3 linked regions of the Arabidopsis thaliana genome follow. The protein of the gene in region 1 purifies or fractionates together with the protein of each later gene. This does not show direct contact. Each region holds a gene or a part of one and is shown in the gene's direction. Other genes may lie near its edges.

Region 1 (8,577 bases):
CGGTTTCTGACGAAACACAAACGCTGATGAAACAACGGAGGCGACGGAAACGCGTTAGAGTGGCTGGTCAACCTGGACAAGTGGCAGAGTGGAGACCGTCTCTTAGCGTTATCTCCGAGAACAAGCCGGCGATAACGAAGATATCAGAAAAGAACGAAGAAAAGAAGAAAGTCCGTCGGAAAAGTGAAGGCAACGGCGGCGGAGACGCATCATCACGGTCCGGTGGTGGTCATATTCGTTTCCGTAGTGACGATTTCGGGTAATTTATATGATACGTTTGTGTTAATTAAGGTTAGGGTTATAGGGTAGTCAATTAAAAATTTTCTTTTTTACAAAGCTTAATAATATGTTTAGTATCTAGTTGTAGTATTAAAAAATTATTCTAACCTCGTCAATGTAATTTATAAAGATAAGTATGGAGACTATGAAAAATAAGAAGAAGATAATGATATGGTAGTTAAGATGCAATTTTGTGGATAAAGATTCGATATAGTTGAGAAGTCAACATCAGTATGTCTTATTGTTTATTTGCGTAAATAGAAGAAGACGTAAATCGCAAGGTAACCGTAATAGTGAAAATTGATGTTTACAAAATGGCAGAAGAACATGTAGCTAGTGGCTTATATATATAACGCATACTAATGTTTTTGACGTTTTTAAAATTGTTTTTTGGGTTTTGCAGGAGAAATGCTTTCGAACCGGTGATTCCGGCATTCTCGCCGACTCCGTTCATGTTTTGAGTTTAAGTTTCTGGTGAAGTTTATGTGTATAATATATTGATAAATATGTTATTGTTAATGGAAAGATGTAGCATTAATGTATATACTTCTTTGATTTTACTACCACTGAAAACTTATGCTTATGCAAAACTCTCAAACGAACATAGTTTGGGCTATGCAACACGTAGAGTACCATTTATACCAATATGGCAATATGACTAAGTTATGTCACAGTACTGAATCAACGGAACATACAGTTTAAATAGATATCGAATGCCAACTTATTTTCAATTCTTGGAAATAAAGAATAAACTTGCAGAAAATGACGATTTACAAACAAATTATTGTATTACGACTCGTAATTTACGAGGAAAAGAGTAACACGACTTATTCTTTGTTTCAAATATCAATCACTACAAATATTTACAAAGTTGTTAAGGAAAAAAAATCATTAACTGGCAAACTAGCCAATTTAGAAAATCGTTTTTCCAAATTTATAATATTTGCAAGCTAGCCTTACAATGTTTGGTAATAACGAAAATCTCGCATCCAATATTTTAATTAGGTAGTGTTAATATATAAATTTGGCTATTTAATGAATGTAATGTATGATTTAAAGAAACTCATTTAAGTCCGGAAATTTTGTTTTATTTAGTTATCATTATATTGATTTTGAATAGTCCGTTCAAAATTTTGGTTTATTTGCAAACATGTCAGATTTTCGAAACATATTGACATGTACAAACTTATTGATTTGAATGTGGTTGATTTATGTGTTTATTCTCCATCCAAATCTTTGTTCGACTTTGAATTTTGAAAGTGTATTGTGAGTGTCACAGTTCGTTTCTATAGTGAATTATTTTATATAGCCGTATTATGGGCACGACTAACAGCAAAAGGCCCATTTAATTATTTTGGTGAGTTCCTTATTCGACGTCAATCCAGAAGAACCAAATAGACTATATACTTATTATTAGGTTTGCATGATCAAAGAAAAGACTTGTACCTTAATTTTCTCAAATTCTAATACCCTAATATATTACTACTTACTAGTGTACTAAAGAAGTCGCTAACGCGTTTTTTTGTATCTTTAATCACATTCTCACATGTTGGCTTATCTTTTTTTTCCTTCGTAATCAATAAATCTCCAAATATATAAATGCAACACATACGAACGACTATGTATTCTATACATGGAGTGGAGACATGAGAACGTGGGGTTGTACCGTGCACGTGGAGAGGACATGTCTTGCTTAATGATTATGCGACCATGGAACAAGTAAACTTTGAACTTGGGGAATATTTGCTCTCAAGTTATCAAATTCATCTTTTTTCCCTCCAAAATCCCAAATATAATTTAAGATATCTTTTCTTCTTTTAATTTCCCTTTCTATTCTCATGAAAATAACATATAATTAATCTACGCAAAGAAACATTAAAATCTCGATAAAATAACAATATCCGATTAATGTATACATATAAATTATCTCTCTCACACATGTTGTTACATATAAGGCGGTCAAATACAATAACATGGAGGATCTTCACGTGTTCTCTTGGTTGTCTTGGCTTGGCTTAAGCCACTCTGTATAATCTAAGAAGTGAATTGTAATGTTTTTTTCTTTCAATTCTTTAACCTCTACTGCATTTGATATTTCGTAAATTTTAATCCTAAAGAGAAATATAGTTGAAAAAACAACTTTACACGACGTTGTTTTCCGATGAACTTTACTCATTAACAAATTTAAAAACATGTTATTTGTTTTGCCTTCATCAAGTGGATTGTAAAATGAACAATTCAACTAGTTATTGCTTATAGTTGTTTTGTTAGCATAAAAACATAGCAGCTAGTTCAACTCTTAAAATATAAAAAATAGTATTATTGAAGTGTAAGCAGAATTAAGTGTCGTTTTACGTCAATCATTTGTGTGCCAAATTGTTTCGTTCCGTGCGCTGGTGGTGAATATTTTTGTCCAAGTATTTAGAATTACTTGCGGCAGTAATCCCGGGATTTTATCTTCGTTTTATCTTCATTTTAGTGCACACAACGTAAGCAATATTTTACTAAATTTTCGAATTAGTGTTAATCATCGCTTAAATCAATAAATGTCTAGAACCATGTCAGTAGATTTAAAACAAGTTAAACATACTCAAAGTTGATTTCACGAAACTGTTAGAATGGTGTGGATAATTCGGCAATAAATTCATGTCATCTCGAATTAATTTCATTGTCTTATTTTGTCTATAGCAGTTACTTTTTGTTTGAAAATTTTATCTTATACTTATTAGGTTCATTTATTTGGATGAAAATTAGCTCCAACTAATAATCTTGATGAATGTGACATTAGGTAAGTTAGGTGTATATATGTAACTGCTTACTACTAGTTATAGACTTATAGTTCCACATCTTATCTTATCAATCTCAACTAATAACTAATCTCCAAACTCTCAAATGATAAGATGAATTTGATATGTGGATAACATAATCTGTATCATCATCAATCTGTAAAATAATTACTCCATTGAATTGTTTTATAATACTCGAGGGTATACCAAAAGTACAAAGACCGCGATACAGGTAATCAAACCCTGGAAAATTCGTCGCGGAAAACCAAAAGGTCAGACTAATAAGAATGTACGATCTAAAAAGAATAAATTCATCCAATCATATTAAGCATAGTCATATTCGTGGGGTCCATTATTCACACGACACCAACACAAATTTATATTTCTCCTTTATATAATTTTTATTTATTTATATGGAAATACACCTTTCTATTTTACTTATCTGATATCTGAACTACCACTTTTCTTTTTTTTTTACATTTCTTTCACATTAATATAATCATATTTAGTCAATAGTCAAAAACTCAAAATTAGTAGAAAAATGATTTATTTTATTACCATGAGCTTGTTACTCTTTTCTATATAAAGACACAATTTATTGTAATATAGAGTATAGTACATAAAAATTAAAATTATGTAATCAATTGTTAACATAAAATCATCACACAATCTAATTATAGTAGGAGTAGTAACGTAAATTTAATTAAACAACCAATTAAAGAAAAGAAGAAAAATGAAAAAAGAAGCTTTCCGTTTCATTGTTTTAGCTTTTAATTTTGAATAAGAAGTTGTTACATTTGTAAAAACAAATTTTATATTTAACTTTTAACTTTTTTTTATTCTAACACATTACAACATAAATAAAATAAAAAAGATAATTTTTGCTTGAAGTAGAACCTCTCTCTCAGTCTCTTTCTCACTATTCTTTGGATTCTTTTCTCTGTAATCAAAGCAAAGCTCTGCAAAAATATTTCTCTCCTTTTCTCTTCAAAACTTTCCTTTTTTATGATTCATCTGCTAAAATGCACCAATTTTCTATAATCCTTCACATTTCTCCAGGTAACACATTCGATTCACCTGTTTTTTTTTTTTTTTTGGTCTTCAGCGATTTTTTGTTGTCGTTATTGTGTGTAGTAGGTGTGATTTTTTTTCTTTTCTTCCTGGGGATTTTTGTTGTTTTCGTTGAGAAAGTCTTCTTTGGGGGTTTGGTTGCGCTGAAGGAAGAAGAAGAAGACGAAATAATGGAAAATTAAACAACGAAAATTAGGGAAAATTAGAGAATTAAGAAAGGTTTTATTCAATCGGCGCGTTTCAAAAGTCTACGCGATTCTCGAGATTCATTTTCAAATCCTTCTTCCTCGGGATCTATAGTATAGAGCTTCAGTAATTTTGTCCTCTTGAGGTATTTGTTTGAAGAAGATACGAATTGATTTTTAGCTGAATGAATCCATTTTGGCAGCCAAGCTTTTGTTGAAGAGTTCGATGGTCAACGTTACGCTAATTTCTTATTTGACAAATTAGTTGTTGTCTTCCTCTTCTTCTGACATTGTGCCATTTAACAAATACTTCTTCTCTGATCCATTATTGTTTTTTTGTTTGCAGAGACGTCTAAAGAAGCTTGAAACCATTATTAGAGTATTTGACAATGGAAGGAGAATCCAAAGGATTAATCGTTGGGATCTCACTAGGTTTGGTGATTGGTGTTGTCTTAGCTATCTCAGCTTTGTTCTGCTTTAGGTATCATAGAAAAAAGTCTCAGATTGTGAATAGTGGATCACGAAGAAGTGCAACCATTCCCATCAGAGAGAATGGAGCTGATTCGTGTAATATAATGTCGGATTCGACCATTGGTCCGGATTCACCTGTGAAATCTTCTAAGAATGGGAGGTCTGTTTGGCTTGAAGGGTTTAGTAAGAGGAGTAATGTCATCTCTGCTTCTGGCATTTTGGAATATTCTTACAGGTTTGTCTCTTCCTCTGACAAATCTTAGTTTCCTGATTAGGTTATTATTTTATTGTCTTAACTATACTCAGGACTAGACTTCTCTTGTTATAGTAGTTACTTTGGTTATTATTTCAAAGTTTGAAAGTTCATTAAAAAGGGGAATGCTGTTGTGGATATGAGAAGGTCTTGCATTCTTGGGGTTATATTCCGTTTTTGACATATGGTCTTTGGTGATTGCTTCAGGGATTTGCAGAAAGCGACGTGTAATTTCACGACTTTGATAGGCCAAGGAGCATTTGGACCTGTCTACAAAGCTCAAATGTCTACTGGTGAGATCGTGGCTGTGAAAGTTCTAGCCACTGATTCTAAACAGGGCGAAAAAGAGTTTCAGACAGAGGTAAGATATATCTATGGATTCATTTCCGAAGAACAAGTTAGTGTGTAAAACATGTAGCATTAGGCAGACTTTTAAGCATTACAATAGGCTTTCTGAAATCTCTAATACTCAATTTATTAGTTGTGTCATCTATAAGACAGGCTACATGAATGAACAATCTATATATCTTACTCTCTTAGTATCTGCTTAGTTTCTTGAAAAACTCATCCACTCGCCTTAATCTTTTCAGGTTATGTTATTGGGAAGGTTGCATCACCGTAACCTAGTGAACTTGATTGGATACTGTGCAGAGAAAGGCCAACACATGCTTATATATGTTTACATGAGTAAAGGAAGCTTAGCTTCTCATTTATACAGTAAGTAACTACCTGGTTATACATACCATATTAATCTGCTTGTCACTAAATGAACTGTTAATGCAATGTTGAGCTATTCGGTATCTTTGTAGAACATTTATTGAGTTGATGGTTTAGACTTCACTAAATGATGAGCCTTGGTAAAGATTTGAGATGCACTAAAATGGTACTTTTGATACAGGCGAAAAACATGAACCGCTGAGCTGGGATTTGAGAGTATATATTGCTTTAGACGTGGCACGTGGTCTAGAGTATCTTCATGATGGGGTAAGCTGCTTGCTAAAACCATTCACCATTTTAATGCATCTCTTAAACAACAACTTCAAAACTCATGTTCTAATCAATTGTTCCAGGCTGTTCCTCCTGTAATCCACAGAGATATCAAATCTTCCAACATCTTGCTGGATCAATCTATGAGAGCTCGGGTAAACATATCTTCTTTCTCTTTGAAATCTCAGTCTATTGAACCACCTCAAGTTTCTAATGGTGATCTTCTTTAACTTCAGGTTGCTGACTTTGGCCTCTCCAGAGAAGAAATGGTAGACAAACATGCAGCTAACATCAGAGGAACATTTGGCTACCTCGATCCCGAATACATTTCAACAAGAACATTCACCAAGAAAAGCGATGTCTATGGCTTCGGAGTTTTGCTTTTCGAGCTTATAGCAGGAAGAAATCCTCAACAAGGTCTAATGGAATTGGTTGAGCTGGTAACATAAAACTAAAAAGTCCTCGAAATCTCCAATTGTTTTGTTTGGAGAATTGCATGTAAAGACTAAACGTTTTGTTGTTGTTGATGAACAGGCGGCTATGAATGCAGAGGAAAAAGTCGGATGGGAAGAGATAGTAGATTCAAGATTAGATGGGAGATATGATTTACAAGAAGTGAATGAAGTAGCAGCTTTTGCTTACAAATGCATCTCTCGTGCACCTAGAAAACGTCCTAACATGAGGGACATTGTTCAGGTTTTGACTCGTGTTATTAAAGTGAGACATTGCAGAAAGCGGCAGAAGAATTCTCCGTCGCCGTCTCCACGGCTTCCTCCTCCTCCTCCGATAGTGGAGGAGTCAGAAGGTGAGTTAACTGCAAACGGATCATTACGATCAGAAATTCATCGGAGGGATAATTCCTTGGACAGTAGTATAGCTGAAGACGTGATTTTGTAAACAAAATGAAAAAAAAGTCTCAATTTTTTTAATTATTATTAACTTTTAAAATGTGATTTTGTTTTTCAATTCTTTTGGGTTTTTAGACGCTAGATTGTCTATATTTGTGAATGAAAATTTGTTCTTTGTTTTTTCGTGTTAAAACGAGTTCAAAACTGGAGAACCATATTATATATTTGGGCTATGAAAAGAATTGAATTCAAGGCCCAATTAAAACCTAGCCTAGCCCATTAAGGTTTAGTGATAATACAGTGTCGTTTAATCGTTTATCCAATTTTTATCGTCATCTGTGGAACGGATAGGACGAAGGAAAAAGAAGAAGAGTGAAAGTTGCAGAGCGAGAAAAAATGGCAACCATGTCTGCTCTTCAGAGCTCTTTTACTTCTCTTTCTCTATCTCCCAGCTCTTCCTTCCTCGGCCAGCGTTTAATTTCCCCGATTTCCCTCTCCGTCACTTCTCCGGTAACTTTAATTTTCGATTTCTGGTCAATTCAGGTTTTTAATCATTGTTCAAGCTTTTAGGTTATGTAGTTCACTTGTTTGCGTAATAGATTAGGTTCATGTCTTCGCTTTTCATATCCAAACCCATTTCATCAAGTAACTCTCAAATTGAATCTGTGTTGTTGCTCATTTTAAGTTTGAATTTTGCTTACTGGGATATAAAATTTTGTGCATTGTCTATGTTTAAGTGTAACTACTGAATTGAGATGAAAGTTATGAGGACTTAAAACGTCATCCTTTAGACTGATTGACTAGTTATTGGTTTGGAATCAATGGACTAGTACTTGTAAATGCTATACTTTTTAAACGAACGAAAATGTGCGTGTGATGGCTCACATTGAGTAAAGTGGCTATCTTGTTCATTTGGTTGTGATTTTTTGCATTTTCTTATGAAATGCAAAATAGCTGCAATAGGATATGGTTTCTTTGTTACTCTGCTGATTATTTTATACTCATTGCAGGTCAAGCCCGCTGAGAACCCATGTCTTGTTCTTGCAAAGGTTAGTCCACAGATCCATTACATTAACATTCTGCATTATTCGTTAATATACTAGCTTTGAAACCACAATAATTCTTTAGATTTTGTACACATCAAAAGCAAAAAGGAAAACTGTTGATAGATTCTTTTGAAACAATGAGATTGGAAGATGATTTATGTGTTTTGCGTTTTCAGCTCAAGCGTTGGGAACGAAAAGAATGCAAACCAAACAGTCTTCCGATTCTCCACAAAATGCATGTCAAGTTTGGAGATACAGTCAAAGTAATATCTGGACGCGACAAGGGTAAAATCGGAGAGGTTACTAAGATTTTCACTCACAACAGTACCATTGTGATCAAAGATGTGAACCTCAAAACAAAACACATGAAGAGCCGAGAAGAGGGAGAGCCTGGTCAAATTGTCAAGGTCAGAAATCATAGTTTTGTAGCTTTCCTTTACTTTGCAAGATTGGAGTGATGATTGAAGATTGTGCGAAATGTATTATGCTTTCCAGATAGAAGCACCTATCCACAGCTCAAATGTGATGTTGTATTCAAAAGAAAAAGACGTAGTAAGCCGGGTGGGTCACAAGGTACTTGAAGATGGACAGAAGGTAAGATATCTGATCAAAACAGGGGAACTCATCGACACCATTGAGAAGTGGAAGCTA
Region 2 (6,946 bases), on another chromosome or scaffold:
ATGGAAACAGGTCACAAGACTCAGATTCTTTACATTGCGGCGGGTAGTAGTAGCTTTCTAGTCTACCTTGAGATTGCCCCTGCCCGTGATTCTTGAGTCGGGCACAGGAAGTGGTTTTCTGTCAACTTTACTTGCTCAAGCCATCCCCGCAAGGTAGAAACTTCTGTGGTCTTTCTCGTTATTTCTTATGTACCATGTTTTTGGTCGTTTGTGTAGTTTCTTCTAACCTTCCACACACTTGTCTTGCGAATTCCTTCCACAGCAGAGATGTTAAATCAGGAATATTCAGGATGTAGAAACTTCTCTGCTCTTTCTCAAGTAGAATGCACTTGTGGAATCCCTCAGATCAGATTTCATTGGTAACGTTCGTTAACTTCAACAACAACACTTTACTAAACATGTGCTAATCAATTGTCATACGCTTGTATTTCTTCGATTCATTTTTATCTTATGCAAGTGTTTTCTCTATTATGATTTATTTAGTTTTGCATAAATAAGGACACTCCTTCGGAGTCAGTATAAGAAAACTATAACCTAAAATATAAATTAGGCAAATGTCCACTCACCCATCCAAAATTCCATTGTAAATAAATGTTTCTTTCAAATAAATGAAAAAAAAAAAAAAAAACAAGTTGGAAGAAGGAACCAACCAAGTAATTGCCAGTCAAAGGAGGCGACTCACACTTGAAAGGATAAGCTGACATGGCAGACAACGATCCTGCGTAGAAATTGCGTGAACGTGGAAAAGTTTGAGGATATAGCCGTCATTTCAAATAATTCGGGTACTATTATATAAGGCTTCAAGTCCTGGTTCGTAGTACAAATTGTCTCACAAACTCTTCTTTCAGTCATCACAGAAAACAAAAAAAACAATGGCGGATAAGCTCACTGACGATCAGATTACAGAATACAGGGAATCTTTCAGGTTATTCGACAAGAATGGTGATGGTATGGTTCATCAACTCTTTCCATTTAATCGTAATGTTGGATCATGATCATCTTCAAAGCAATGAAATGACTAACACAAGTCCTTGATTACTTTTTGTAGGTTCCATTACGAAAAAGGAGCTCGGTACCATGATGCGTTCAATCGGTGAAAAACCGACAAAAGCTGATCTTCAGGACTTGATGAACGAAGCGGATTTAGATGGTGATGGAACCATCGATTTCCCTGAGTTCTTGTGCGTAATGGCTAAGAATCAAGGTCATGATCAAGCGCCGCGTCACACTAAAAAAACAATGGCGGATAAGCTCACTGACGATCAGATTACAGAGTACAGGGAATCTTTCAGGTTATTCGACAAGAATGGTGATGGTATGGTTCATCAACTCTTTCCATTTAATCGTAATGTTGGATCATGATCATCTTCAAAGCAATGAAATGACTAACACTAGTCCTTGATTACTTTTTGTAGGTTCCATTACGAAAAAGGAGCTCCGTACCGTGATGTTTTCCCTCGGTAAAAACCGGACAAAAGCTGATCTTCAGGACATGATGAACGAAGTGGATTTAGATGGTGATGGAACCATCGATTTCCCTGAGTTCTTGTACCTAATGGCTAAGAATCAAGGTCATGATCAAGCGCCGCGTCACACTAAAAAAACAATGGTGGATTATCAGCTCACTGACGATCAGATCTTAGAATTCAGGGAAGCCTTCCGCGTATTCGACAAGAATGGTGATGGTATGGTTCATCGTCCCTTTCTCGCTAATCGTACATATTGGATCCTGATCATCTTCAAAGCACTGAAATGACTAACATAAGTCATTGCTTACTTTTTGTAGGTTACATTACCGTGAATGAGCTCCGTACTACTATGCGCTCCCTTGGTGAAACCCAAACAAAAGCTGAGCTCCAGGACATGATCAACGAAGCGGATGCAGATGGTGACGGAACCATCAGTTTCTCTGAGTTTGTGTGTGTAATGACTGGTAAAATGATTGACACTCAGTCTAAGAAAGAAACGTACAGAGTTGTGAATCAAGGTCAGGGTCAAGTGCAGCGTCACACTAGAAATGACAGAGCTGGTGGCACCAATTGGGAGAGGGACATAGCGGTCGGGGTTGCCAGCAATATCATCGCTTCGCCAATTTCCGACTTCATGAAAGATAGGTTTAAAGATTTGTTCGAAGCGCTGTTATCTTGAAATGACACGTCAGTAACTTTATGCCAATAGGGTCTGACAATTATGTTAGATCTCTCTCAAAAGGCGTTTCATCTAATGACAATAATTTCTATGTAATAAATTTATTGCATGTGTTAGTGTGTTACCATCTTCAGTTGTGTGCAATTTATTAAAATGAGTTTGTAATATGGTTTCAGTATCGAATATAATTGGGGTATTAATGTATCTTTTGAGAAAAACATTGAAACGTAGCAGAACTAATCATTGAAAACTGGTAGCTCACTACTAAAAATTGATCTAATATGATAAATCGGTTAATGATCTGGCACATACAGTGATCAAATCAGCTAAGCCTCATATCTTACCATGTTAATCAATTGTCATAAGCATGTATTTCTTCGATTTGTTTTTATCCGATGCAAATTTTTGCTTTGTGATTGTTATTGCAGAAACAAGGACGTTCGATGCACTTCCAAAAAACATATAATGTTACAGACAATGTAGTATTAAAAAGTAGTAGTTAAAAGCAAAATCTTTAATAATTTAGACAAATGTAGCGACAGCTCCACTTACCATCCAAACGAATACTTCACAATTGATAATTCTAATAAATGTTTTTTTTTAAAAAAGACAGCATTTAACAATAACGAGAAAACAAATACTAACGAATTGGAACCAGAAACCAACGAACCAAGGAAAATCAAAGGAGGCGACTCACTGGAAAGGAAAAGGTGAGATGGCAAAGTCAACGATCCGCGTAGAAACCGCGTGAACGTGTGATCCATCTCTTCTCATGTCAACCTGGCGCTTAAATTTAAAACTCAAATTTATGGCATTCTCGTAATTTCATCCCCAAACCGAGGTCCTTCCCGACATTAACAATAATCCAGGTAAATAAAACGCCTCAAGTCCGCATTCGTAGCACACGAATCGTCTCACAAACTCTTTCGTTTTTCCCTTTTTCTCCAATCACAGAAAAGAAAAGAAAAAACAATGGCGGATCAGCTCACAGACGATCAGATCTCAGAATTCAAGGAAGCCTTCAGCTTATTCGACAAGGATGGTGATGGTATGCTTCATCCTCCCTTTCCCTCTATCATCGTAGGTCTTGGCCGTATAATTCTGATTTAGTTTCTGCTTGATTTGGTTCCCTTTTGATATGTATCGATTACCGTGGTGACGGATCCATTGTTCGTATCCTCGCATTGACTCTTTTCGTTTTCGATGTTCCAAATCATTATTGAATTCAAGGATTTGTTTGTGCCTTTGTTCAAATTAAAGATCTATGTAGTTCGGATGAAATATTTGTGAATCAGCCCTGTGGTGTTAGTGATGATTCATGTTTTCAATTCGTATTTTGACCAGTTTTTATTGATTTGTTCTGATTCTGGATTTGCATCGTAGTAACACCAATCTTTGATTACTTTGTGTAGGTTGCATTACCACAAAGGAGCTTGGTACCGTGATGCGTTCCCTCGGTCAAAACCCAACCGAAGCTGAGCTTCAGGACATGATCAACGAAGTTGATGCGGATGGTAACGGAACCATTGATTTCCCGGAGTTCTTGAACCTAATGGCTAGGAAAATGAAGGACACTGACTCTGAGGAAGAACTCAAGGAAGCTTTCAGAGTTTTCGACAAAGACCAGAACGGTTTCATCTCAGCTGCTGAATTGAGACATGTGATGACTAACCTCGGCGAGAAGCTTACTGATGAAGAAGTTGATGAGATGATTAAGGAAGCTGATGTTGATGGTGATGGTCAGATCAACTACGAAGAGTTTGTGAAGGTTATGATGGCTAAGTGAGGATTGAAACAACTTCTTCGGCTTTCTCCTTTTTTTTTTTTGACTACCTTCTTATGTAATTTCATAAAGAATGTTCCTTCGCTTTGTTCTAAAATTTCATTCATGGCTGGTTTTTGCTGGTTAAAAAGACAGGAATGTTATGTGTTTTTACCTTTTGTCTAAATGACTCATTGTTCATGTTATTGACAGGTTCAGAACCTGATTCTTGAAATATAACAGTAATGAGATCTTCTTCTATTATCTTCGTATTGATCATTCTCTTTAGAATCTGTCGTCGTATGTAGAAGCAAGAAGATGCTTATCGGTTGCGGTAAGGGTAGGGAGCTTAACCCGAGTTGGCTCAGACGATGAATGTAAAGGAGAGAAGAGTATAGAAGTTGTCTCAGACATTCCATTGTTGAAGTCAAGCACAGTCTCTAAGCTGTAAATACTCTCTCCAGCTGCATAACCACCTAAGAGTTGATACGATCTGTCTGATTGATCCATCGTCAAACACATATCTTCTGAACCTATCATCAATCAATTCAGATTTCTTGAGTGTCACAATTAGGTTCAATTTGCTAAATGGTTTCCTCAATCAAAAATTCAAAATTCAAAACTTACAGGCAGCAAGTTCAAGCTGAGTTTGATAAACGAATTCAAGAACTGCGGAGACATCTCGCTCGAATTCATGAAACGGTCCGTCTTCGAAATTCATCTTCCTTAGCTTACATACTCCTTCTCCTAACTCCATCATCGCTCCTTTATGGTTCTTCAAATCCCAAAACACTCACTAAAATTACCTCAAACGTGAACGAAAACGAGCAATAGATGGAGTTAAAAGGAGAGTAGATTTACGTTGTTGAATAGATGGTGAAATCCAACAGCACATTGAAGAATTCCATGGATTAAGGTACGAGTTGGTTCCTCTGCTTGAATCCAAAGAGCTTCAAGCGCGTCATGACTTTTGTAATAATCCCTCTTGTTGAAGAGAGTCACTGCTTCCTCAAAGCTCCAATATTCTTCCTTATCCTCGTCACTATCCTCTTCGTCTTCTCCGGCGTGGTCGTTGTATCTGACGATTGATCTTCGACTGAAACGGACGCGTATGGAGCTAAATTTTGTGGAGGCTCGAATCGTTGAAGCAGTAACAGAGATTGGAGAAGAAGGGATTAAGGAGCTGAAGAAAGAAGATGGAGGAAGCGTGAAAGATGAAGGAACCTGGAAATGTTTCGAAGAAACTGCCATTATCAAAGTCAAAGGTCGAGCTCTGTCTCTACTGCATGGTTCTGGCTTGCGCCAGTTTTGTGGTCACCGTTTTACCAAAACTTTGTAATTGGGCCACTATTTGGGTCCTTATTTTTTATATAATTTAGGCCCATATTTTATGGCGAAGCCTTCCTCATATCATATGGTTGTCTCATTCGTAAATTATTTTTCTGCAGTAGCTTTCTCTTATGATTATCAAATTTGTTGATTATTTAGGGCTTTTATGTTGTCAAAAAAAAAAAATTAGGGCTTTTGAATACTCAAGTTTTTCCAGACATTAAGTTAAAACAAATACTGTATATTATTTAATTTTTGTTAAATAACAAATTTATGTTATCGCATTGCACTGTGTGAGATTTATCCGGACAAAACACAATGATAGAAGCAGCATAAATCATATCAGGATATGCCTTTTATTGTTTATCTTTAATACCTTAGAAATGGTATCTTATCATAATAACTTAAAGGATCATTATTATGGTAGTGGTAAAACATCATTATTATTCATAAGTAAAGATTTAAAGAATGTTCAATTTTTTGAGATTTGTTTTTGAATTTTTGAATTTTGGAAATGCAGTAATATACTATATAGTCCCAAAAGTCCGTATGTATCTTCAGTTCAATTGATGGATCATATAGAACTATTTAGAATGATGATGGTGGCAAGACAATGACCTAATTAAGGACCCTTCCTAAAAATTTCAAACTCTATAGCAACTTTTTCCCCACCAATATATATATAAATACAAAAATCAAGTATTTAACATCTAAAATAAAAAAAATAAAAAAAATAATCTACACTCTCTACCCTCTCATTTCACGTATATATAATCCATCTTTTAGGACAGAACCCACCGAAAGCTCCACAAACCCCATTAATTAACAAAAAACCAAAAGAAGGCGGCGCAAACAAAAGATAATGCAACCAGAGACCTCAGATCAGATGTTGTACTCGTTTCTTGCCGGAAACGAAGTCGGCGGTGGAGGGTACTGCGTCTCCGGCGACTACATGACGACTATGCAGAGCTTATGTGGGTCTTCGTCGTCGACGTCATCGTATTACCCACTGGCGATCTCCGGCATCGGAGAAACGATGGCTCAAGACAGAGCTTTAGCTGCTTTGAGGAACCACAAAGAAGCTGAGAGAAGAAGGAGAGAGAGGATCAATTCTCATCTCAACAAGCTTCGTAACGTACTCTCTTGTAATTCTAAGGTAATATAAACTTTTGATACTTTTTCATTTGGCGTATGTATCTCTCCTCGTACATATGATGTTTATACATCTGTACGTATATATTTCTTTGAAATTTTAAGAAAAGATTTTTGAAATGGGTATATAATTAGGGTTTTGCATCTTCTCTAACCCAGAGTTTACATCTTTAAAATTTTCTCATGTTTCATTCGATTTGGTGTTAGCTCATGAATACTGTACTTTTTCATGATAACATTTTATAATCATTTGGTTTCAATTGAGTCTTTTTTGTCTTACTATTCTTACTTATTAACAAGCACATATTTATCAAAGATGATCCCTAATTTTCTACATTTATAATTCTAAAGATTGATATATATTTTGATTTGAATATTCAAAACTGGCGAGTAGTGATCAGATGAGAAAAACGAAAAGCTTCATGGCCTTTTTGTGAAGCTCGTTGGGATAGTATATCACTTTTTGGGAAAGTTCTCAAGCTTTTTCAGTTGATTTGATTTGATACAAACATCAAATTTCAACTTCTTGATCCAAACTTTTCATTGTAATTTCAT
Region 3 (7,686 bases), on another chromosome or scaffold:
ACACTTTAAGATATACAACATTCAGTTGACAATGCAAGTTCTCCTTTCTTTATTTTCATAACGTAAACAGGGTAAGAGATTGACATGGTGTTTATTACCTTGTAGGACTATTCACATTCGTCGGTCAAAGTGAAAGAATCTCGTCTTGGTGGTAATAAGAGAAGCGAGCATATAACGGTGAGGACAGAAAATTATGACGAACAGTCAGAGAATCATAAATATCTTCTTCTTCTTTTCGTTTCCGCTTCGTCAAGGCAACACATTAACACTTTCTCATGGATCATCAAACGCAGGAATCTCCTTTTGTAAAGGCAAAAGTAACATCTGTGTCAAATATATTGAAGGAAGCGACAAATCCAAAGCATCATAGCAAGGTAAACATATGAAGCTTTGCATTTTTACATTGAAATCAACCTCATTGTTTGGCTTGTGGTTCAACTTGGCAGGTAACTCATCGTGAGTATGAGGTTGAAACGAATAATGGGAGGATACCTAAACGGAGAAAAACAAGACAGACAACAATGTTTCAGGTCAGCTTGTCCATCCTGCTATATAGACATATTCAAGATATCTAACTTTACATTGTTTGGCAACAGGAGCCACAAAGACGCAGTACTAGGTTGACACCCAAATTGATGACCCCCACAATCATCGCGAAGGTAAAATACAAATACACTACTTTTAACTGATGCTTTGAAATGAACAAACCCTCACATCAGTCAACTAGTGTTGAAGCAGAGAGTAAAAAAGTAGATTTGATGATAGGAGAAAAATCATATTTTCACAAAACGTTTTATATTCATTTCGTCACACCTTCCTTAATAGTAAAATAGATTAACTGACAGACATAATGGAACAATAGGAGGTCAGACTTAGGGCTGCTTAACCAAGCTTTATGTCTATGCGAGTATAATGTAGAAGTTTTCAGGCCAAGAAGTTATGGATGATGCTAGGTTTCTAAAAACATTTCTGATTTAACTGCATATTATTCTGGTCTTTTAAGCGCAGGAAACAGCAATGGCCGATCATCCTCACTCTGCAAATATTGGAGACTTGTTTTCAGAAGGTTCCCTCAACCCATATGCTGATGATCCCTATGCATTTGATTGAAGTCTACCACACAAAGTCAGTTCCCTATCTCTCTCTCACTTTCAGATACATACTATTTGTGAAAGCTTGCTCACCGATTTACATAAACATTTTGCTGCTTGCATCAACTATCTCATTTTTATAACGTGGAATAACTATATCCTAGTGTTTCAAAAACTTGTAAATGTTGTTAAGAGAAATAATCCGCAATCTGTTTCTGATCCAGTAGCTGTCTTCAAAAAACATTGATAAAACCTTTGCATCAATCAAAAGTGTTAAATCTATTTGTCATCTTTATAGCTGTTTCTATATTTGTAGATTTGGTATACGTTGGTGTTATTAGTGGTTCATTTGCTCTTGAGGTTAACAGTTTTCTGTTGAATTATTGGCATCACAGAACACTGATTCCAAGCGGAGTGCTCTCTGAGACCTGAGAAGAATCACAAGGAAGAAAGTGGAAAGCAGTACAAATCATGTAGATCAGAAGCCATTCATATAAGCATAGAATAAAACTATCAGTATTTGTATATATATACAAACTCATACATTGTATCTAGTTTCACATTCTTGTGCTGTTGGGCTCATTAACATACAGTACCAGTACTTTACATAGTAAGAAAATGGGCTCATAAAAGGCCCACAATTGAAAATGAGTACATGATGTTCTACTGTACATGACTAGGGGCCTATGAACCTAATTTAGAGGAACATATCACGGAGGTTTAGACGAACAAGTTTATTATTTTAAGCAACAAATCGTTTGTTTTAGGCTAGCAATCAAAATTGTATGTATAAATAAGGAAGCTAAGGTAGCTAAATTGATGTGTGTTTGATTAAATAAACTAGATTAAGGGTCAAAAAGTCATGAAATGTGTGCGAATCACATTAAATGGAGAAACAAAAAGATGGCTAGTAAACGCGTCGAAGCCTTTGACCCTTTCCACTTTCTTGTCGCATTCGTTGATACTTTGAGATTTCTGGTAATGGGGAAGAGACCTGATATTTTATATTTTACTCAATTAAGCACTTCATAATTGTTCTTGAACTTTTAGTTGTATAAAGAAAATGTAAAAATTACCGCAATCGTTATGCCATCAAATCCAAAATGGATATGTTTTTCTACGAAACTGCTAATTTCATGCATTAATTTGTGTGAAAACGAAACATTCATTTACTTTTTACTTACTCATAATAATCTCTCTAAGCAAAAATGTTTTATATTTTGTAATATTAAATAAAACTCTTGCGGAATACGTCCTAATAAATATCAAAAACCAAAGGATTGTGTTTTATTTTTCTGGATATTTGTATATCAGGAATAAAATATATATGAATTTTCTAAATAGTTTCGCACATTTTTTCATGTCTGAATAGTAAAAACGCATATAAAAAAATAAAATAGGGATTGTTAAGGAGATGACATAAATGTAAAGGAAGAGGAAGTCAACATGCCAAATAGCCAAGACTAAAATTTTTAAATGGCAGCTTTTTTATTTTCTTTGACCAGATCACTCCTTTTTGCTCCATCCCTTTCTCTCTCTCCTTTTCTTCCCCTAATTTATCTTAACCTTCACCCCCAAAATTCCAAAACCTCTCACTTTTATCCCAAAGTTCCTATTGTCATATCTACACCCTCATTTTACTTTAATACAACGCAAATGTATGTTACAAATTCATCACCTAAACAAAACTACAATTTAAAGGTTAAGCAATTATTGTTACCCAAATTAAATAATCGAAATCTATTATAGTCACAATTTAAAATTCATTCATATGAGGCGTAAAGTAAATATTTATATATATGAAGGACGTTGATGCAATATTAAAAAAATACAGATAGCTTTCAATTTTTATTTTTCTTTCAACTGAATAAAAATATATATATATATATATATAATTTCGCGTAGGAAAAAGACATAAACGAAAAGAGAGCGAAGACTTCGTCGCATAGACTTTGTAGATTTATCGTTGAGAGTACCTCAAACAAAAAAAAATTGAAAACCAAATTAGGGTTTTTAATTTCCAGGTAAAAATCCCCTCTTTCTTATCATCTCCCAGCTGCTCAATGAAGATTTTAATTTCGCTTTCTGAATTTATTTTTTCTGCAGATTGTTTTGTTTATTTGAATAAATCTCCGCAAGTTTCAATTAGGTTGCAAAAATCGAAGAAATTTTCTTCGATTCAAAAAAAATGGGAAAATTTTGTTGCTTCACTTCCGCTTCTGAGGTAATGATTATCGAATTTTTGGCTATATAACAATTTCTTTTTTTTTGTTATGAGATGAAATAATTTTGTCTTAGAAGTGAAAGATCTGAGAGCTTTGTGTTTTGATTGATCTTATTGGTGTGGGTTTTTAGGTTGTGGGAGGACAATCATCATCACGATCAGGTAAAGGAAGAAGTGATGAAGGGATGATCAAGTATGGTTTTAGTCTAGTGAAAGGAAAAGCTAACCATCCAATGGAAGATTATCATGTTGCTAACTTTATCAACATCCAAGACCATGAATTGGGTCTTTTTGCTATTTATGATGGTCATATGGGTGATAGTGTCCCTGCTTACTTGCAGAAACGTCTCTTCTCCAATATCCTTAAGGAGGTAAAAACAAAAAAAAAGGTTACTGTTCTACTGTTCTTGGGTTAATGAACATGTGCATAGCTTTAAGTGTATTGTTTTTTTTATGCAGGGAGAGTTTTGGGTTGATCCTCGAAGGTCTATTGCAAAAGCTTATGAGAAGACGGACCAAGCGATTCTATCGAATAGTTCTGACTTGGGTCGTGGTGGTTCTACTGCTGTGACTGCTATATTGATTAATGGGAGAAAGTTGTGGATAGCTAATGTTGGTGATTCACGAGCTGTTCTTTCTCATGGTGGCGCTATAACGCAGATGAGTACAGATCATGAGCCTCGTACTGAAAGGTCGAGTATTGAAGATAGAGGTGGATTTGTATCCAATCTACCAGGTAAAGAACTTATTTTGAGTATTGAATGTTTAATGAAGATAGAATGATTTTGTTGACAAGGAGGATGATGTGGCTGTGATGTTTTAATAACAGGTGATGTTCCTCGGGTGAATGGTCAATTAGCTGTGTCTCGTGCTTTTGGAGATAAGGGACTTAAGACACACTTGAGTTCAGAGCCTGACATAAAAGAAGCTACTGTAGATAGCCAGACAGATGTTCTTCTCTTGGCTAGTGATGGCATCTGGAAGGTAATAATGGCTTGTTCTCTGTATATATTATTCATCTCTTGTTAAATGAGTGTTTTGAGACCATTTTTGTCTGATTGTTTTGTTGTAATGATCATGTTAATAGGTGATGACAAATGAAGAGGCAATGGAGATAGCGAGAAGAGTGAAAGATCCACAGAAAGCGGCAAAGGAATTAACAGCTGAAGCATTGAGAAGAGAGAGTAAAGACGACATATCTTGTGTCGTGGTCCGATTCAGATGACAAACTCTCTGAAAGGATACTTACGGGGAGATGGGTTCCTTATATAATAATTTCAATCAAAGATTCATCAGGACAAAAAAGCTTGTTTTCACTGGATTCGACTCTGATGATTCTGGTTCGGTTTAGGACCGGTCTAAGTTTCAATTTGTGATTAGCTGCTTCTTGCTATAGCTTATGTGCGTTCGTTGTGTAAATTGTGTGTTTTAAAGACGATAAGAAAATGAACAAAAAAGGAGTGGGGAATGGAGTTTTGTGGTGGGTGATGGGGGGTTTTGTTATTATAATTGGTTGATTTGTTATATTTAATCATCGGGATATAAATATTAGGATGTTTTTACAAATATGTGAAAGTACTTTTGGATTAGGTTTGCATATATATATGTTAACCAAAGTGTTTGCTATTTGTAAGAGATTTACATTGCCAAACAAAATAAGCAAAAGTTATCCTTATCATTGTTGTTGGTAAATGTCATTATCCTTGGAAGGATTAAAAATAAGATGGATCAGTTTACTACAATTTGGTTGTGTTTTGTTGTTATAATTCTAAGCAAAGTCTTTCAGAGATTGAGATGTTGCAAATAGTTGCAGAAATTTATCACTGAAAAGGGTTTCATTATTGAAAGACTTAGCTTAGGCGTTGAAAAACTTTCATTGTGTTTTATTTGTGGAACTGTTTGCAACTGCTATAGAGGAAGATGTACCAAGCAATTCTCGAGTTTTCTTCCTCAGTGCTCCAATGGGATTATAGTATTCATTTGGCTATAAAAAGAAAGAATGAAGAAACGTCGGTGACAAGCAATGATTCTTTAGGTATACTCCGACAAACAAAACCCCAAATGGTGTCTTATATTCTGAAATTTCAACACAGGAGAAGCAAGTTAAGTGTAAAACAGATTCCAACCCATCTTGACTCAGGATATGCATCAAGAGTCGTTTCTTTTCTCGCATAGGATTCAAGATTCAGTTCTGCAATGGTATAGTAACTCCATTAGCAATGCCAAAATGAAAAATATAATCTTCAAGTAGCTTAAATTTTGACATAACTGGCTTTTTCATACCTTTTTCTTGGGGCTCATCACCACTTTTGGATAAGAGGAAACAAAAAAAAAGTTGAGTGTATGATTTGGAAGAGAACAAGAAACTAGTATGCTAATTGGTTTCTTGCAACAAAATTTGCTTGAATTCAACAACTTGGCGTTTAAGCAATGAAAGATCCACAAAGCCGTAAATATGTTCCCAAGCATTAACATTCGAATCAAAGTTTAGGCTCCTCATAACAGTACAAGAACTAACAAAATTTCACAAAAATGGCTTATATTGATTCCAAAGGAAACTATCTATCTATCATCAGAGGAGGCAGATAGGGAAATAAAAAGATTACCTCCTCTCTTTCTGTGAGGTCTAAAGTCCACATGTTGAGATTGTCTCTGAGTAGCTGTATAATAAGAGTCATGTCCTTGTTTGATTCATCACTTACTGTCAAATTCATTAATTGCATCATCGAACGCTTGCTTTGCCAATTGGTATGCACTGTACAACACACAGTTTCACTGATTCAGACTGTTAGTAAGTAACACCACACCGATTTCATTAAATAATCATATGTATGCATGTAAGCAAAGGAACCTTTCAGGAGAGTTTAAGAAAACAGAAGTCCAATTCAAAGTCATGTATAGCTGGAACTGTTGGTACCAAACCAGTCTCTGCAGCAGTAACAACAACCAACATTGCCATTACCAAAACACAAAACATATTGTTCAGTTTATTTTGTTCCGAGCTCAAGGCACAAAAACAAACATGAGCCAAGGACCTTATATGCATCAAGAGACTGATCAGTAGCTTCCTTGCTTTCAGCATTAGAACTGAAGTCTGCCAGCCTGGAAAGAACATAAAGTATAGCCAAAACAGTGCAACACTTTTGCGCCTCAAGCACCACAACAACACATTTTCGCTCACATATTGTAGAAAAGAACAGAGGAGTCCACAGTGGTAGACGATGGAATGAGTTGCTTATTGATGACGGACAGGATGTCATTACAAATTTTGGCAAGCTCATCTTCAACCTTGTTTCGATAATTCTTAAGCTTCTTGACATTTTCCTCATTTCCTTTTGACTCTTCCTTTTGCACAATGGATGATAGTATTTCCAATGAAGCTCTCCTTGCGCTAATCACATTCTTGTACCCCACTGATACAAGATTTCTCTCCTTTGCTGATAGCTCCGCTTTAAGCTGAACACTTTTCTTCATCGCTTTCTTTATCTCTTCAAATGTTTCTGCAACAAAACATTTGGAGTATTGAGTAATGTGAAGGCATGTTAAGATTCAAGAAGTTGTTCTGGAAAAAAAGTACCATTGTAGCGCTCGCTTGACGAAGAGAGACTCGCGAAGTGAACGTGCGTTGATTGTTCATTCTCCATGGCTTTTCTTCTTTTTCTCTCTTAAACAATAGATGCTTGGAGAAGAAGAAACTGTAATCTGTATTTCTTGCTCAAGACTTTTCGATTTCACTCATCATTTTAAAGAATAGAAAAGTAAATGAGCTAATGACAAGTGTCCTATTGGCGCTGGATCCAATAGCATCAAATCTGTTTTGAAGGTTTCAGGTTGATTTGGTGAGAGTTGGCAAAGATCGTCACCATGATCCTCTGTTTATTAGTCAAACCTAATATTTGAAGGTGTTGTCTCTTTGCTTTTGACAGTTGTAGCATTTGTTGTGCTAGCAACAACTCACCTAAAGAATTTAGAAGTTGGGCCAAGTGAATACTTGAATTGATCATTTGTAGCTCAAAATTGAAGTTTTCGATAGATGTATGAAATTATTATTCATTGGACATATAAAAATATTAAAGAAAACACTACAAAATCTCTCGAGGGAAGTGGTCAATTCGTGACAAAAATGTTATTTAGATGGTTGACAAAAAGATATCTGATTCTATAAGGATTAACTGGTTCACAGTTTGATTAACATGTTTTAGACTTTGAGGGCTCTCGATTGGATTAGACACAATGAGTGTTGGTACGAGTTAGAGAGTTTGTGATAGCATTTGGTTACAATTACAACTTACAAGAGTCCCATATTTAGAGCATAGAGATCCTTTTTGAGGGTCATGTTGGGAGAACCAAACCATTATTATGTCACACACT

The links. Proteins that work in one complex are often made in the same cells at the same time.
Region 2: the proteins of CRLK1 (region 1) and CAM2 purify together in Arabidopsis thaliana (affinity purification with mass spectrometry, with the first as the bait; one study listed by BioGRID). This does not show direct contact.
Region 3: the proteins of CRLK1 (region 1) and PAPP2C purify together in Arabidopsis thaliana (affinity purification with mass spectrometry, with the first as the bait; one study listed by BioGRID). This does not show direct contact.

Annotation. Positions count from the first base shown.
Region 1 is NC_003076.8:22,175,770-22,184,346, forward strand, and holds CRLK1 (Protein kinase superfamily protein), read left to right. Parts: upstream 1-3,930; 5' UTR 3,931-4,124; intron 4,125-4,161; exon of another isoform or gene 4,162-4,667; 5' UTR 4,668-4,710; coding exon 4,711-5,027; intron 5,028-5,252; coding exon 5,253-5,406; intron 5,407-5,635; coding exon 5,636-5,762; intron 5,763-5,943; coding exon 5,944-6,029; coding exon of another isoform or gene 6,030-6,115; coding exon 6,116-6,187; intron 6,188-6,268; coding exon 6,269-6,472; intron 6,473-6,566; coding exon 6,567-6,929; 3' UTR 6,930-7,059; downstream 7,060-8,577. Other genes in the region: AT5G54585 (uncharacterized protein), read left to right, coding at 1-259, 683-740; RPL24 (Translation protein SH3-like family protein), read left to right, coding at 7,277-7,390, 7,891-7,929, 8,103-8,333, 8,422-8,577. UniProt on the Arabidopsis thaliana protein: Required for cold tolerance, via the activation of MAP kinases activity. Phosphorylates and activates MEKK1 in response to cold in a calcium-dependent manner.
Region 2 is NC_003071.7:17,137,259-17,144,204, forward strand, and holds CAM2 (calmodulin 2), read left to right. Parts: upstream 1-2,970; 5' UTR 2,971-3,120; coding exon 3,121-3,232; exon of another isoform or gene 3,233-3,560; coding exon 3,561-3,934; 3' UTR 3,935-4,135; downstream 4,136-6,946. Other genes in the region: TCH3 (Calcium-binding EF hand family protein), read left to right, coding at 873-948, 1,049-1,315, 1,416-1,685, 1,787-2,148; AT2G41105 (uncharacterized protein), read right to left, coding at 1,193-1,228, 1,673-1,747, 1,797-1,901; AT2G41120 (DUF309 domain protein), read right to left, coding at 4,196-4,443, 4,538-4,685, 4,772-5,161; AT2G41130 (basic helix-loop-helix (bHLH) DNA-binding superfamily protein), read left to right, coding at 6,102-6,395. UniProt on the Arabidopsis thaliana protein: Calmodulin mediates the control of a large number of enzymes, ion channels and other proteins by Ca(2+). Among the enzymes to be stimulated by the calmodulin-Ca(2+) complex are a number of protein kinases and phosphatases.
Region 3 is NC_003070.9:7,870,957-7,878,642, forward strand, and holds PAPP2C (phytochrome-associated protein phosphatase type 2C), read left to right. Parts: upstream 1-2,910; 5' UTR 2,911-3,115; intron 3,116-3,197; 5' UTR 3,198-3,279; coding exon 3,280-3,315; intron 3,316-3,446; coding exon 3,447-3,704; intron 3,705-3,774; coding exon 3,775-4,051; coding exon of another isoform or gene 4,052-4,098; exon of another isoform or gene 4,099-4,144; coding exon 4,145-4,299; intron 4,300-4,402; coding exon 4,403-4,540; 3' UTR 4,541-4,875; downstream 4,876-7,686. Other genes in the region: ZYP1b (Myosin heavy chain-related protein), read left to right, coding at 106-177, 294-374, 447-530, 597-659, 1,009-1,110; AT1G22290 (14-3-3 family protein), read right to left, coding at 5,874-5,941, 6,018-6,070, 6,167-6,243, 6,351-6,417, 6,497-6,815, 6,893-6,959. UniProt on the Arabidopsis thaliana protein: Involved in the regulation of phytochrome signaling. May regulate phytochrome-interacting factor 3 (PIF3) through the dephosphorylation of phytochrome.